Linked DNA regions of Sus scrofa. The protein of the gene in region 1 purifies or fractionates together with the protein of each later gene. This does not show direct contact. Links are inferred from orthologs where the notes say so. Each region holds a gene or a part of one and is shown on either strand. Other genes may lie near its edges.

The links. The genes of interacting proteins can lie anywhere in the genome.
Region 2: the proteins of PPP1R10 (region 1) and PPP1CC purify together in Homo sapiens (affinity purification with mass spectrometry; 8 studies listed by BioGRID and IntAct, counting the BioPlex papers as one, with this or other methods). This does not show direct contact. The link is inferred for Sus scrofa from reciprocal best matches to the Homo sapiens genes PPP1R10 and PPP1CC.
Region 3: the proteins of PPP1R10 (region 1) and TOX4 purify together in Homo sapiens (affinity purification with mass spectrometry; 3 studies listed by BioGRID and IntAct, counting the BioPlex papers as one, with this or other methods). This does not show direct contact. The link is inferred for Sus scrofa from reciprocal best matches to the Homo sapiens genes PPP1R10 and TOX4.

What each region holds. Positions count from the first base shown.
Region 1 is NC_010449.5:23,155,951-23,160,249, reverse strand, and holds the start of PPP1R10 (serine/threonine-protein phosphatase 1 regulatory subunit 10), read left to right. Parts: upstream 1-1,499; coding exon 1,500-1,606; intron 1,607-2,269; coding exon 2,270-2,356; intron 2,357-2,511; coding exon 2,512-2,647; intron 2,648-3,095; coding exon 3,096-3,147; intron 3,148-4,299.
Region 2 is NC_010456.5:32,077,768-32,081,267, forward strand, and holds part of PPP1CC (serine/threonine-protein phosphatase PP1-gamma catalytic subunit), read right to left. Parts: intron 2,220-3,500; coding exon 2,088-2,219; intron 1,202-2,087; coding exon 971-1,201; intron 1-970. UniProt on the Homo sapiens protein: Protein phosphatase that associates with over 200 regulatory proteins to form highly specific holoenzymes which dephosphorylate hundreds of biological targets.
Region 3 is NC_010449.5:77,685,453-77,688,952, forward strand, and holds part of TOX4 (TOX high mobility group box family member 4), read right to left. Parts: intron 2,874-3,500; coding exon 2,613-2,873; intron 2,273-2,612; coding exon 2,042-2,272; intron 1-2,041. UniProt on the Homo sapiens protein: Transcription factor that modulates cell fate reprogramming from the somatic state to the pluripotent and neuronal fate. In liver, controls the expression of hormone-regulated gluconeogenic genes such as G6PC1 and PCK1.

The DNA.
Region 1 (4,299 bases):
AGGTTATAGTCTCAGGAACCAAGTTCCTCCACTGCCTCTGCTTCTTCTCACCTAGGTTGTTAGGACCTGTCAATGTAAACATTTATTAACCTTTTCGTTGGGATTAAAAGGATGAGATTGTTATGCTTGTTTTTCTCTTCTGGTTTGAGAACAAATAGAACAAATTAACATGATCTTATAAGAAGCCTGTTTTCTTTTCTGCAGGAAATATAGTCGTCTTGGTAAAACACTGATTTTCCCCACCCTTCTGCTGGGCTCCCATCTGTTGTCTCTGTACTAGATGCGGGAAGCTGTTTGCTCCTTGCCACCTTCTCCCAGAGCGTTCCTCTTATCTCCCAAGTGTCGATATTACTGAAGTGGCTTTCTTTTCTGCTCAGAAGCCAGTGTTTAGGGGTATTGTGGATAACAATCCTAATCAGAACCATATTGATTCTGAGTGACCTCTCTTGAGCTTGGGTTCTGGCCTTAGGAATTGCTTTACATGTCTCTGTCTCATAACAGCTGTGTTTAGCTTTTAATTAATTCCTTTTCTAACCTGGTCTAGAGTAGCTACTTAACATTTAATGGCATTTTCCCAGCTTCTCGTTTGATTTGTTCCATTCTTTTTGGCCCCATAGTTTCTAATTTCAAGCATTCCTTGGGGAATCTTGGATGGTGGTGTGATTTAGGTGGGGAATGGGGGTCAGAGTCGCATCTTTGCTTTTGAAACCACAGTGCATTCTTGCCGTTAACTCTGAAACAATAAAAACGTGTGCAGTGTTTGGCTAATGAGTGACATTCTGTTCAAGGCTTAGGAGGACCTACTTAATATCCTTTACATCCATTTGTCTATTTTGGGGAGCTACCCCAAACTTATGTGGAGAGAGGTTCGGTTTTCAAGTGTCATTTTCTTCTCTTCCATCTACAGCTTTAGCTGATTATCTCCTGGTTCAAGCAGAACATATCTTGCCACATGTGGAGATGGACTCTTTATGGACTAAGATGGAAAGGAATTGACTCTTAGAAGGCACTTAGCTCAAGTACCCACAAATGGTCCAGTACTTACCAAGCTGTATATTTGCTTTAAAAAAAAAAACAAAACCAGATTTATCAGCAGCTAAGGAGAAACAGGACCTAATAAGCAAAAGTGCCTTGGAGAGTTGAGTGTTTGTTTGGGGGATGTGCATACAGTGTGGTGAGGTTGAACTGTCCTGGAAGGCTGTGCCTGGGAGCTAGAGGAGAGGTAAAGGCTACCTCAGGCCTCCAGCCTGTCTTCCCTTCAGTCGTGTGTTAACCAACCCTGTGCTCTGCCTGCCAGGACTGTTTTCTCGGTAGTAACAATTGTGTGGATTTTTCTTAGGTGGAAAATGGTGTGTACATTTGAATATAGCTTGGATAATTAGCCACTGTTAATTGTCAAATGTAGAGATGGAATAACTTATTAGTGGACAACTGGCACTGTCCTTGCCACCCATTTATTCTGGGATTTGTTTTATTCTCTCATCTTAGAAACCTCCAACATGGGTTCAGGTCCCATAGACCCCAAAGAGCTTCTCAAGGGCCTGGATAGCTTCCTTAACCGAGATGGGGAAGTCAAGAGTGTGGATGGGATTTCAAAGATTTTCAGGTGAGTCTGTACCCTTTGAATTTGTCGTGAGCAGAAGATACTCCATGTGGTGGTGGTAGTTACAGCAGACAGCAGTGAGTGTTCCTTGAGAGGAAAGAGTCAGTGGACTGAGATTCAAATCCAGTTACGTTAGGACTAGCGACAGAGAAAGCTGATTCCTTGGTCCCTGGCCTTATGGAATCTGGGTATTTGGAGAGCCAAAGTCCCAGCGGAAGGAAGGAAACAGGAGCCAGGTGCCCGAATTCTTGGTTCTGTTTTGGGTCACGTTCTGTATTCCCAGAACGTCATTTTCCTTCAGAGATCCTCAAGTTTTTCTGGAGAAAGCAAGAGACTGAGCCAATCCCAATCACATTTGAAGAGTTAGATTGTAGTTGAAGGCTAGAAGTATTCCCCCGAAGCAGAATCCAATGTGTCCTGTGTGCGAGGGATGCAGTGATGCTCACTTCCCCAGATCGGAGACTTCAGTATGTCCCCTCAGTTGTTTTCCATCCTTGGGTGGGTTTCCACATGGCTCCTGACCCACCCCTTCCTTCTAGTGGCCTCTGTGACCTCCCCCAGCTCTGCAGCAAAGTCCCAAGGCATCAGGGTCTCTAGGTGCTCCCGCAGAGTAGACAGCCTTCTACTCTGACTGCTGCACTTCTGACCTTAACTCATCTCTTACAGTCTGATGAAGGAAGCACGAAAGATGGTGAGTCGATGCACTTACTTGAACATTCTCCTGCAGACTCGTTCACCAGAAATACTGGTCAAGTAAGTGGGGACCTGGGCGGCTGGGATGGGAAGATGTAGTTAGAAGGCAGGGGAGGTGAGGCACAGGGTTCCTGGGTCATTGATGGGGGACTCATTGTGTGGGGTGAACTCCCAGGACCCCGAAGGGCATTACAGATTCTCCTCCCTGCCTGCAGGTTTATCGATGTTGGTGGTTACAAGCTTCTCAACAATTGGCTGACATACTCGAAGACAACCAACAACATTCCCCTCTTGCAGCAAATCCTGCTCACCTTGCAGCACCTACCGCTCACTGTTGACCATCTCAAGCAGGTACCCTCAGTCTTCCCAGTCATGGTTCTTCCCTTTTGGTTTAGCGTAGCAGACGGAAAACTGACAGAGACCCTGGTGTGGTTACACTCTTGGGCCTGTGGGGTAGAATGGTGGGGAAAAAATGCCACAGGTGTGGCCTGAAAAAGAAAAAAGTAGGAATTTTAAATCAGAATATTTGGTTTGAGCTTATCACCTTTAATAGGTGTGTAATATGGGGCACTTCCTAAATCAAAGCCTTGATTTTTCTCATCTGTAAGATGGGCATAATTGAACCTATCTGGGTGGCCTTAAGCAGTTAAGACCATGTTTCCAAAGGCTTTGTTAGAGGTAAAGTGCTGTCTCAGTGTTAGTCACCGTTCAAGAGCTCGAGAGTCTGTGGGTTGTTAGCTCTGAGGGGGCTGCGTTTACGCCTGGCGCTGAGCTTCCTGCTGTTCCCTGTCTCCCCTAGAACAACACGGCCAAGCTGGTGAAGCAGCTGAGCAAGTCAAGTGAGGATGAAGGTAAGGGCCACCAGTCCCTCCTCTCTGTCCTGGGCCTTCCTCTGCTACTTCTGCTCAGTCACCTTTGTTTCTAAAAATCTTTTGATGTAAAAGGCACACACTTAAAATTCTTCAGGAGAAATAGTGTCATCCTAGAATGTCTTGTCATCATTTACTTCTGTTTTTCTAAATAAATATAGCATATTCTAGGACCCTCAATTTCTATTTTCCTAACAACAGATAATGCTCGTTCTGCTATAGAGCACGGGCAGAATCCCGACTCCTGGACTGTATCGTAGCTTTGATAGCAACCAATTCTTTCCTTTTTTTCTTTTTCTTTTTATTGGCTTTTTTTGTCTTTTCAGGGCCGTACTTATGGCATAAGGAGGTTGTCAGGCTAGGGGTCTAGTCGGAGCTGTAGCCGCCAGTCTACGCCACAGCCACAGCAACGCAGGATCCAAGCCTTGTCTTCGACCTACACCACAACTCAACAGCAACGCCGGTTCCTTAACCCACTGAGCAAGGCCAGGGATCAAACCTGAAACCTCATGTTCCTAGTCGGATTCGTTTTTGCTGTGCCACAATGGAAACTTTTTTTTTTTTGGCTCGATTCTTTCCTTTTCTAAGACAGAGGGTTTTGGGAGCTCCTGATGAGGGCCATATTGTTCTGGCTTGAAGACAAAGCCTGGGTCCAGAAAGTCACAGGCTCTTCTTTAGAGAACAAAAGAAATAACCCAAAGATTTTATGCCCAAGGTATAAACCAGGAGCACAAGACACTAGTTTCCTGCGAGAGAGCAGTATTGTAGCAGAGCTGGTCCCCGAGCAGCCAAATACAGGCTTGCTCTTCATCTCTGGGAGTAGTGTCCTAGGTCCCTGTGGAAAAAAGCCTTTGGCCGTTTTGTGTGGAGGGAGCACCTAGGCCTGGGCAAGCCTATGTGTAGCTCCTTGAGCTAGAGGAGAAAACACAGGAAATGTATTCTAAGATGAAAGAGTCCTGATTTTGTTTCAACTCACAGGATTAAGTGAAAAACATTCCTTAGCTTTCCTTTCCTTTGGTAGTAGGAATGCTCAGTTTGGGGATTTTTTTTCTTTCTTTTTTTTAAACAAGTTTTATTTATTTATTTATTTATTTTTTGTCTTTTTGCTATTTCTTGGGCCGCTCCCCGCGGCAT
Region 2 (3,500 bases), on another chromosome or scaffold:
AATTATACTTGCCTGATGAGAGAGGGGAAAGCTGGAGTACAAGGTCATTATATCAGTCTTGAGGACAAGAGCCAAAATTGACACCAATCAATGCTGACCTTCTGCATCATTAAGGCCTCTACATTAAACAGAAACCAAAAATGATGTAGCCAATACCCTCACACTAGGATCTATGTCACAACAAAGAGATCACTGGGTCTGAATAACTTTGATGAAAACATGAAAGTTTTCACTAACAGCTGTGTAAAAGGAACCACTTCTTAACCTGTTCTGAAAAGCAGCACTATACAAGTGTCCAAAACACAATATTATAAAACTTTTCTGCCTCTCATTTCACTACCTAAAGAGTAGTAACTAACTGCCTTAAGAATACTTCTCTGATAGACTCACTGTCAATATCAAATCTCTCTTTCCTAACTTAGTTGCTGAATTCTGTCAGAACCCACAGATTTCTTCTCCTTGGTAATTCCTCCCACTTCATTTTATAAGCTGGGTCTTGGGGCCAGAGATCAAACAAATATACAACCATGGTTGGGAGCAAGAGGGCTAAGTCTATGAATGTAACCTTTCCAGCAGTGTACTTCTAACAAACAAGCTAGCTGAATACATCTACGTGAAACTGAGATGGAAAAACATCACACCCTGAGCGACTATAGGTTATGATCACATAGTCTAGGGGAGGCCACAGTGACAGTGCTTTACTGGTCTTGTTATAATTATATTGGCAAGTGCCAGTAATCAAATTCCTTAACTACTCCTCTCTTTGCAGCCTAAACCTTCTTCTGCCGAAAATAATGAATACAAAAAGGTAGAGGTAAGGATTAAAAAAAAAAAAAAAAATTAAGCATTTTATATAGTTATTTAACCAGCAGCAGCACCAAAAAATCCTCCACCAGAGGAGGAGGATGTTCAGTTTATGCCCAAGTATCTCAATTTAAGTAACTTTTTCTTAGATACAGAAAGTACTTACATTCATCATAAAATCCATAAATTCTATTGATGCTGGCACATTCGTGGTTTCCTCTGAGAAGAAAAAAATTCTCGGGATATTTGATTTTGTAAGCCAATAAAAGGCAGATAGTTTCCAATGACTGTTTTCCCCTGTCCACATAGTCCCCAAGAAACAGGTAATTGCTTTCTGGCGGGAAACCACCGTATTCAAAAAGTCGAAGCAAATCATAGTATTGCCCATGGATATCACCTAGAAGGAAGAATTTTTGTTATAGTATCTTCATACATATAGTTCAAACCACTAAACTAATTAATTTCCAATCTTCTATACTATTTAGTTCAATTGAGCTTAATTAAAATTTTAAGTGTATGTATATATACCGAATCTCACACAGAACTAATTAAGAATTTATTTTGTGGAAAGAATTATTAATGCCTAGGGAGACCTTCTTGCCAAGTAACATGGTTTTCCTTTCAGGTTGGCTGATCATTATCAGATCTCCAACGGTTCAGTCTCCCAGCATTGTAACAGCAGCACAGCTGCATTTCTTGAGAGCCCTGGTCCTGTGTAAACAAAGTACACACCCACTACACCTACCAATGCATTTGGCTTTCAACTTCTCCCTGGAGATAATGGCAAAGAGCATTGTACTTTAAAAAAATCTGCATACAAACTTTATTAATGTAGTCAAACATGCTAAAAGAATAACTATAGCACTTTTCAGATAGAGCTTAGTTTTTATACAGATTATCCACATCTTTCATGTAGAAACAGAACTACAAAAAGGCATCAAGGAAGGTCTATTTTTAGGCATAACCAGAGTTTCTTTAAGCTTAAATATAATTCCTATACACTCATATAGTTAGGGCCTCTTCTTAACTCTCCATTCTGTTTCATTTCTTTCCTTTCTCCTGAAATGTTTACATTCCTTGAGTGAAATAATTTTCAGAAAATCTGAAACCCATCTAAGATCAGAGGTATTTATTCTAAAGCTACAATTACTTAATTTTAGGTAGTTCCAGATTATTCATATATGCTAAATGATTCTGTTCGCTAATACAAGGTCATACATATATCACTGACTCAGTCGGTCAATCACGTAATCAAAGGTAACTGTTAGTGTGCCAAAACTTACCACATATTTTGAGTGGTGCTTCAAGTTCGAGTAGGATAGGCTGACTGAGAAAGATCTCTCGGGACTTTAAGCACAGTCCTCTGATTTCATTCTCTTGTAGCTGGACATTCTTACCAGGTTTGGACCCTCTCACTGTAGGGGAGAAATCTCAGTTTAGTCAAGTGAAGTAAAAATAAGATTTAACATAAAAATTAAAAATATCTGCAAAGATACATTTTAAAGACAGAGGCGGGAGTTCCAGTCATGGCACAGCGGAAACAAATCCGACTAGGAACCGTGAGGTTGTCGGTTTGATCCCTGGCCTTACTCAGTGGGTTGGGGATCCAGTGTTGCTGTGAGCTGTGGTGTAGGTTGCGGACTTGGCTCAGATCTGGTGTTGCTGTGGCTGTGGTGGAGGCTGGCAGATGCAGCTCCAATTGGACCCCTAGCCTGGAAACCTCCATATGCCGTGGGTGTGGCCCTAAAAAAGACCAAAAACAAGCAAACAAACAAAAAGAGGCAAAAAACAGTTTAACTAGCTTTCTGGCTGGGCTTTATTTATTTTCAGTATACTTAAAAAGAATATGATTTTAATGTCTAATAGGAACTTAAAATCTTCGGATTTCAAGAGATTATTTAGCTGCATTTTCTATACCAAGATTTCTTTACAGTATCATGATCAAGGGGTCATCTTCTCAGTGTATAAATTGTTAGAAAGGTCTTTTTATTGCCTACTAAAATCGGACTCCTTGTGGGCATGGCTTGAGGTCTCAGTTCTGTCTCTAAGCCACACAAATCGGCCATGTTCACCTATAGCCCCTGCCCACCAGGCCAGCTTTTTTTTTTTGTTTTGTTTTTTGAAAGTTCTCTGTTTGTTTTTTTTTTTGTCTTTTTGCCTTTTCTAGGGCCGCTCCTGTGGCATGTGGAGGTTCCCAGGCTAGGGGTTGAATCGGAGCTGTAGCCACTGGCCTACGCCAGAGCCACAGCAACATGGGAACCAAGCCGCGTCTGCAACCTACACCACACGCAGCTCATGGCAAGGCCGGATAGTTAACCCACTGAGCAAGGCCAGGGATCGAATCCACAACTTCATGGTTCCTAGTCGGATTCGTTAACCACTGCGCCACGCCGGGAACTCCGAGGCCAGCTTTTTTTTTGCCTTCCATCTTGTCTTCTCTTCTCCAGCCTCATAAATGAATTTGCATTCATACAGAAGATTTTAAGTGATATCAGGTTACTAGGTTAGTTCTAAGAATTCCTTGTTTTAACACCTAAGATAGGAAATGCTCAGAATCTCCCCTCCCCATCAGTGTTTTTCAGAGGGCCACAGGGATCTCAAGGGCCCCAGATTTATCTACGAAAAAATTTAAGTGTTGTTTCCATTTCATTAACACACACTGTACATTTGTGCGTTATTTTTCTGTGCAATTTCTG
Region 3 (3,500 bases), about 55 Mb from region 1:
AACTGACACAAAGATGTTGGGGGCATCAGTTTTTATTCTCTTGGAACATTATTTTAAGTCTGCCATAGTGTAAAGAAGTCAGTCTAGCCTACTGGAGGATGACAGAGAACCAAGGCATTTTTGACAATAGGTAGCACCAACTGCCAGATGTGGGAGCTAGGTCATCTTGACCAGCTATCAAATATTAGCTACCATTTGAGTACAACTGTAGATATGAGGCAAAAACACCAAGAAAACCACCCAACCAATTTGTAGAATCGTAAGAAATAATAAATTGCTACTGTCTTAAGCCATTAAATTTACTTGAGAAGTAGGTAACTGATATAAATTTTGTAGAATAAATTTATTGTAGAATAAATTCAGGTTTTTTTTGTTTTGTTTTTTTTTTCTTTTTTTGGTGCCTTGCCCCACATGGAGTTTGCAGGCCAGGGATCAGATCTGAGCTGCCCTTATGACCTATGCCGCAGCTGCAGATATGCCAGATCCTTTAACCCACTGTGCCAGGCCAGGGATCAAACCTGCATCCTGGGGCTGCAGAGATGCAGATCCCAGTGAGCCACAGTGGGAACTTCCAGTTTTTTGTTTTAATGATTAACAACTCACTGTGACATAAGACCTGGGGAGTTTTAGGGTAATGATAATTAAAACCATTCAATTTCAATTATATCTTACATAGTATCATAATTTTCATTCGTTTAATCCAGATTACATTTAGGGAAATTAATGATTTTTTTTTTTTTTTTTTTTTTTTTTTTTTTTTGCTATTTCTTGGGCCGCTCCCACGGTATATGGAGGTTCCCAAACTAGGGGTCCAATCGGAGCTATAGCCACTGGCCTATGCCAGAGCCACAGCAACTCGGGATCCGAGCTGCGTCTGCAACCTACACCACAGCTCACGGTAACGCCGGATCGTTAACCCACTGAGCAAGGGCAGGGATCGAACCTGCAACCTCATGGTTCCTAGTTGGATTCGTTAACCACTGCGCCACGACAGGAACTCCAAATGATATTTTTCAAGTTTATATGATGCCAATCAAAAAAATGTAAATCCAAACTTGGTTGTAGATTTTATTTTTTAATACCTTTTTTTCTTGACTGCTTGTAGTTTATGGAATTCCCAGGCCCATAAGATCTGAGCTACAGCTGTGATAAACACTGCGACTATAACACCAGGTCCTTAACCAACTGTGTCCAGCTGGGGATCAAACCTGCAACCTGGTGCTGCAGAGATGCCACAGCCCCCATTAAGCCACAGTGGGAACTCCAGTTGTAGATTTTATTTTTTTTGGCTGCCCCTGCAGCATGTGGAATTTCCTAGGATGGGATGGAACCCTCACCACATTAGTGACAAGGCTGGGTCCTTAACCCACTGTGCTACCAGGGAACTCCTGGTTATGGATTTTATAGTTAACTATAGCATGCAACCTACCGAAGCATAGCCTAATTTTACAGATGGAAAAGAAAGGGCTTAGAAAAGTTGGATTTAAAACAAAAAAAAAAAATACAGTGGGAAAAAAAAAATAAAATAAAATGGACTGCAGAAAAAAAAAAGTTGGATTTAGTGTTTTTATAATAACTAATTATCATACTAAATTATTTTACTAATTAATAATTTTTAGATGGGTATTCTGGATTCCATGTATGGCTACAACTTTTAAGACAAAGAATGATCTTGAATGCCATTAACAAAGAGTTTATATCAAATAAGAATTTGTAAAAAAGTTAAAACTTTTGCTTTTTTGGGCCACACCCGAGGCATATGGAGATTCCCAGGATAAAGGTCAAATTGAAGCTGTAGCTGCCAGCCTACGCCACAGCCACAGCAATGCAGGATCCGAGCCTCGTCTGTGACCTACACCACAGCTCACAGCAACACCGGATCCTTAACCCACTGAGTGAGGCCAGGGATTGAACCCGAAATCTCATGGTTCCTAGTCGGATTCGATTCCACTGTGCCACAATGGGAACTCTAAAAACTTAGTTTTTATCCCCTTGCTTCTTAGAGTATTCACTATCCCCTAGTTCTTCATTATTTGCTCACCTGCTTTTGCTCCTCTCCAAGACTGTCCCACATGGAGGCCACAATTTTTGAAACCTCCCCAAAAGTGGCATTGGGATTCTGTCCCTTGATGGCAGCTTGTGTGTCACGAAAGAACAAAGCATATGCTGAAACTGGTTTTTGAGGTTCATTAGGATCTTTCTTTTTTCTCTTCTTTGGAGCCTTCTGCTTTTTCCCTGCTTCCACCACAACTGTCTTCTGGCTGGGAAGTTGCTGTAGGGGAAAAAGAAAATTACAAGAAGAAGGGAAGTATTGTGTCTGCAGAACTTAAGAAATGGACTTTTAAATGGGGTAAATTAGTCACATGAATAGAATTTTCAGAAATGCTAAAAATAGAAGGAGTAAGATTAAGATATTAGTAAAGTATGTGAGGACCAGTAAGAATGGGGATTGGAAGGAGAAATGTAAATTATAAGTTGAGAGGTGGGACCCTAAACCCAGAAAAGATCAAAGGAGATGGCAGGACAGGAGTAAAGAATACTCAGTAGAATCTGTGGGGCAAGAGTTTCCCAGAATAACATGGCAGATTTGATTTTGGCAGGGAATGCCTCACCCTCCGGAATTCCTCAACACCATCCTCATGAAGTGAACTAGTAGGTGAAGGGGTGGTTGAAAGACGATCCTCAGGTGACTGGGCAGGTGGCAGGATGGTGCCACCCCCTAAGCTCAAACCAAGTTGAGAACTCAGTTCTGACTGATCAATGGTGGTCAACTGGCTATGCCCCATCAAGCCAGATGTCATGTCTGTCATTGGTACATCAATTGTAACAGGTGGGTTGGCGCTATACTGAGTTCCTATAGAATGATCCAAGTCCTGAGAGAAGCAGAAGGACTAATTATAAACACTAAATATAAAAGACACCACTCTCCCCCCCCCACCCAAATTCAGGACAGTTCATAAACTCTCTGCTTACCCAAGATGTATCACCGTTTAAACATCAAATAATTTATATACATATAAGACATACTAAGCTTTTTAATAAAATACAGAAATTACTAAAGTCACTTCTTTGTACACAAAGGGCTGTATCAAAATAACCAAAAGTAACCAAAGCAGTCTTAATTTTGGAAATGTTAATTTAAAGAGCAAGTAAATTACTCAGTAATTTGGGGATAGTGATGATACTCAGGGTAAAGAAAAATTCCCCCCCTGTACCTTCCTAAAACAGTGGCTGTTAAAAAGTTGCAATACACAAGCAATCAGAGTAAATAAGGCCAATGTTAGAGATGTTTGACATCGAGCAGAGTGTGTGATGTACCACTGATGGAATGTGCTAGAAGACAGTTTTTGTTTTGGGAGCCTGTGGCATGTGGAAAGTCCCAGCCCAGGGATCAAATCTGTGCCACAGCAGCAACCCGAGCCACTGCAGTGACAATGCTGGATCCTTAACCCTCTGCGCCACAAGGGACCTCCCAAACATATTTGAATCCATCCCTTAAC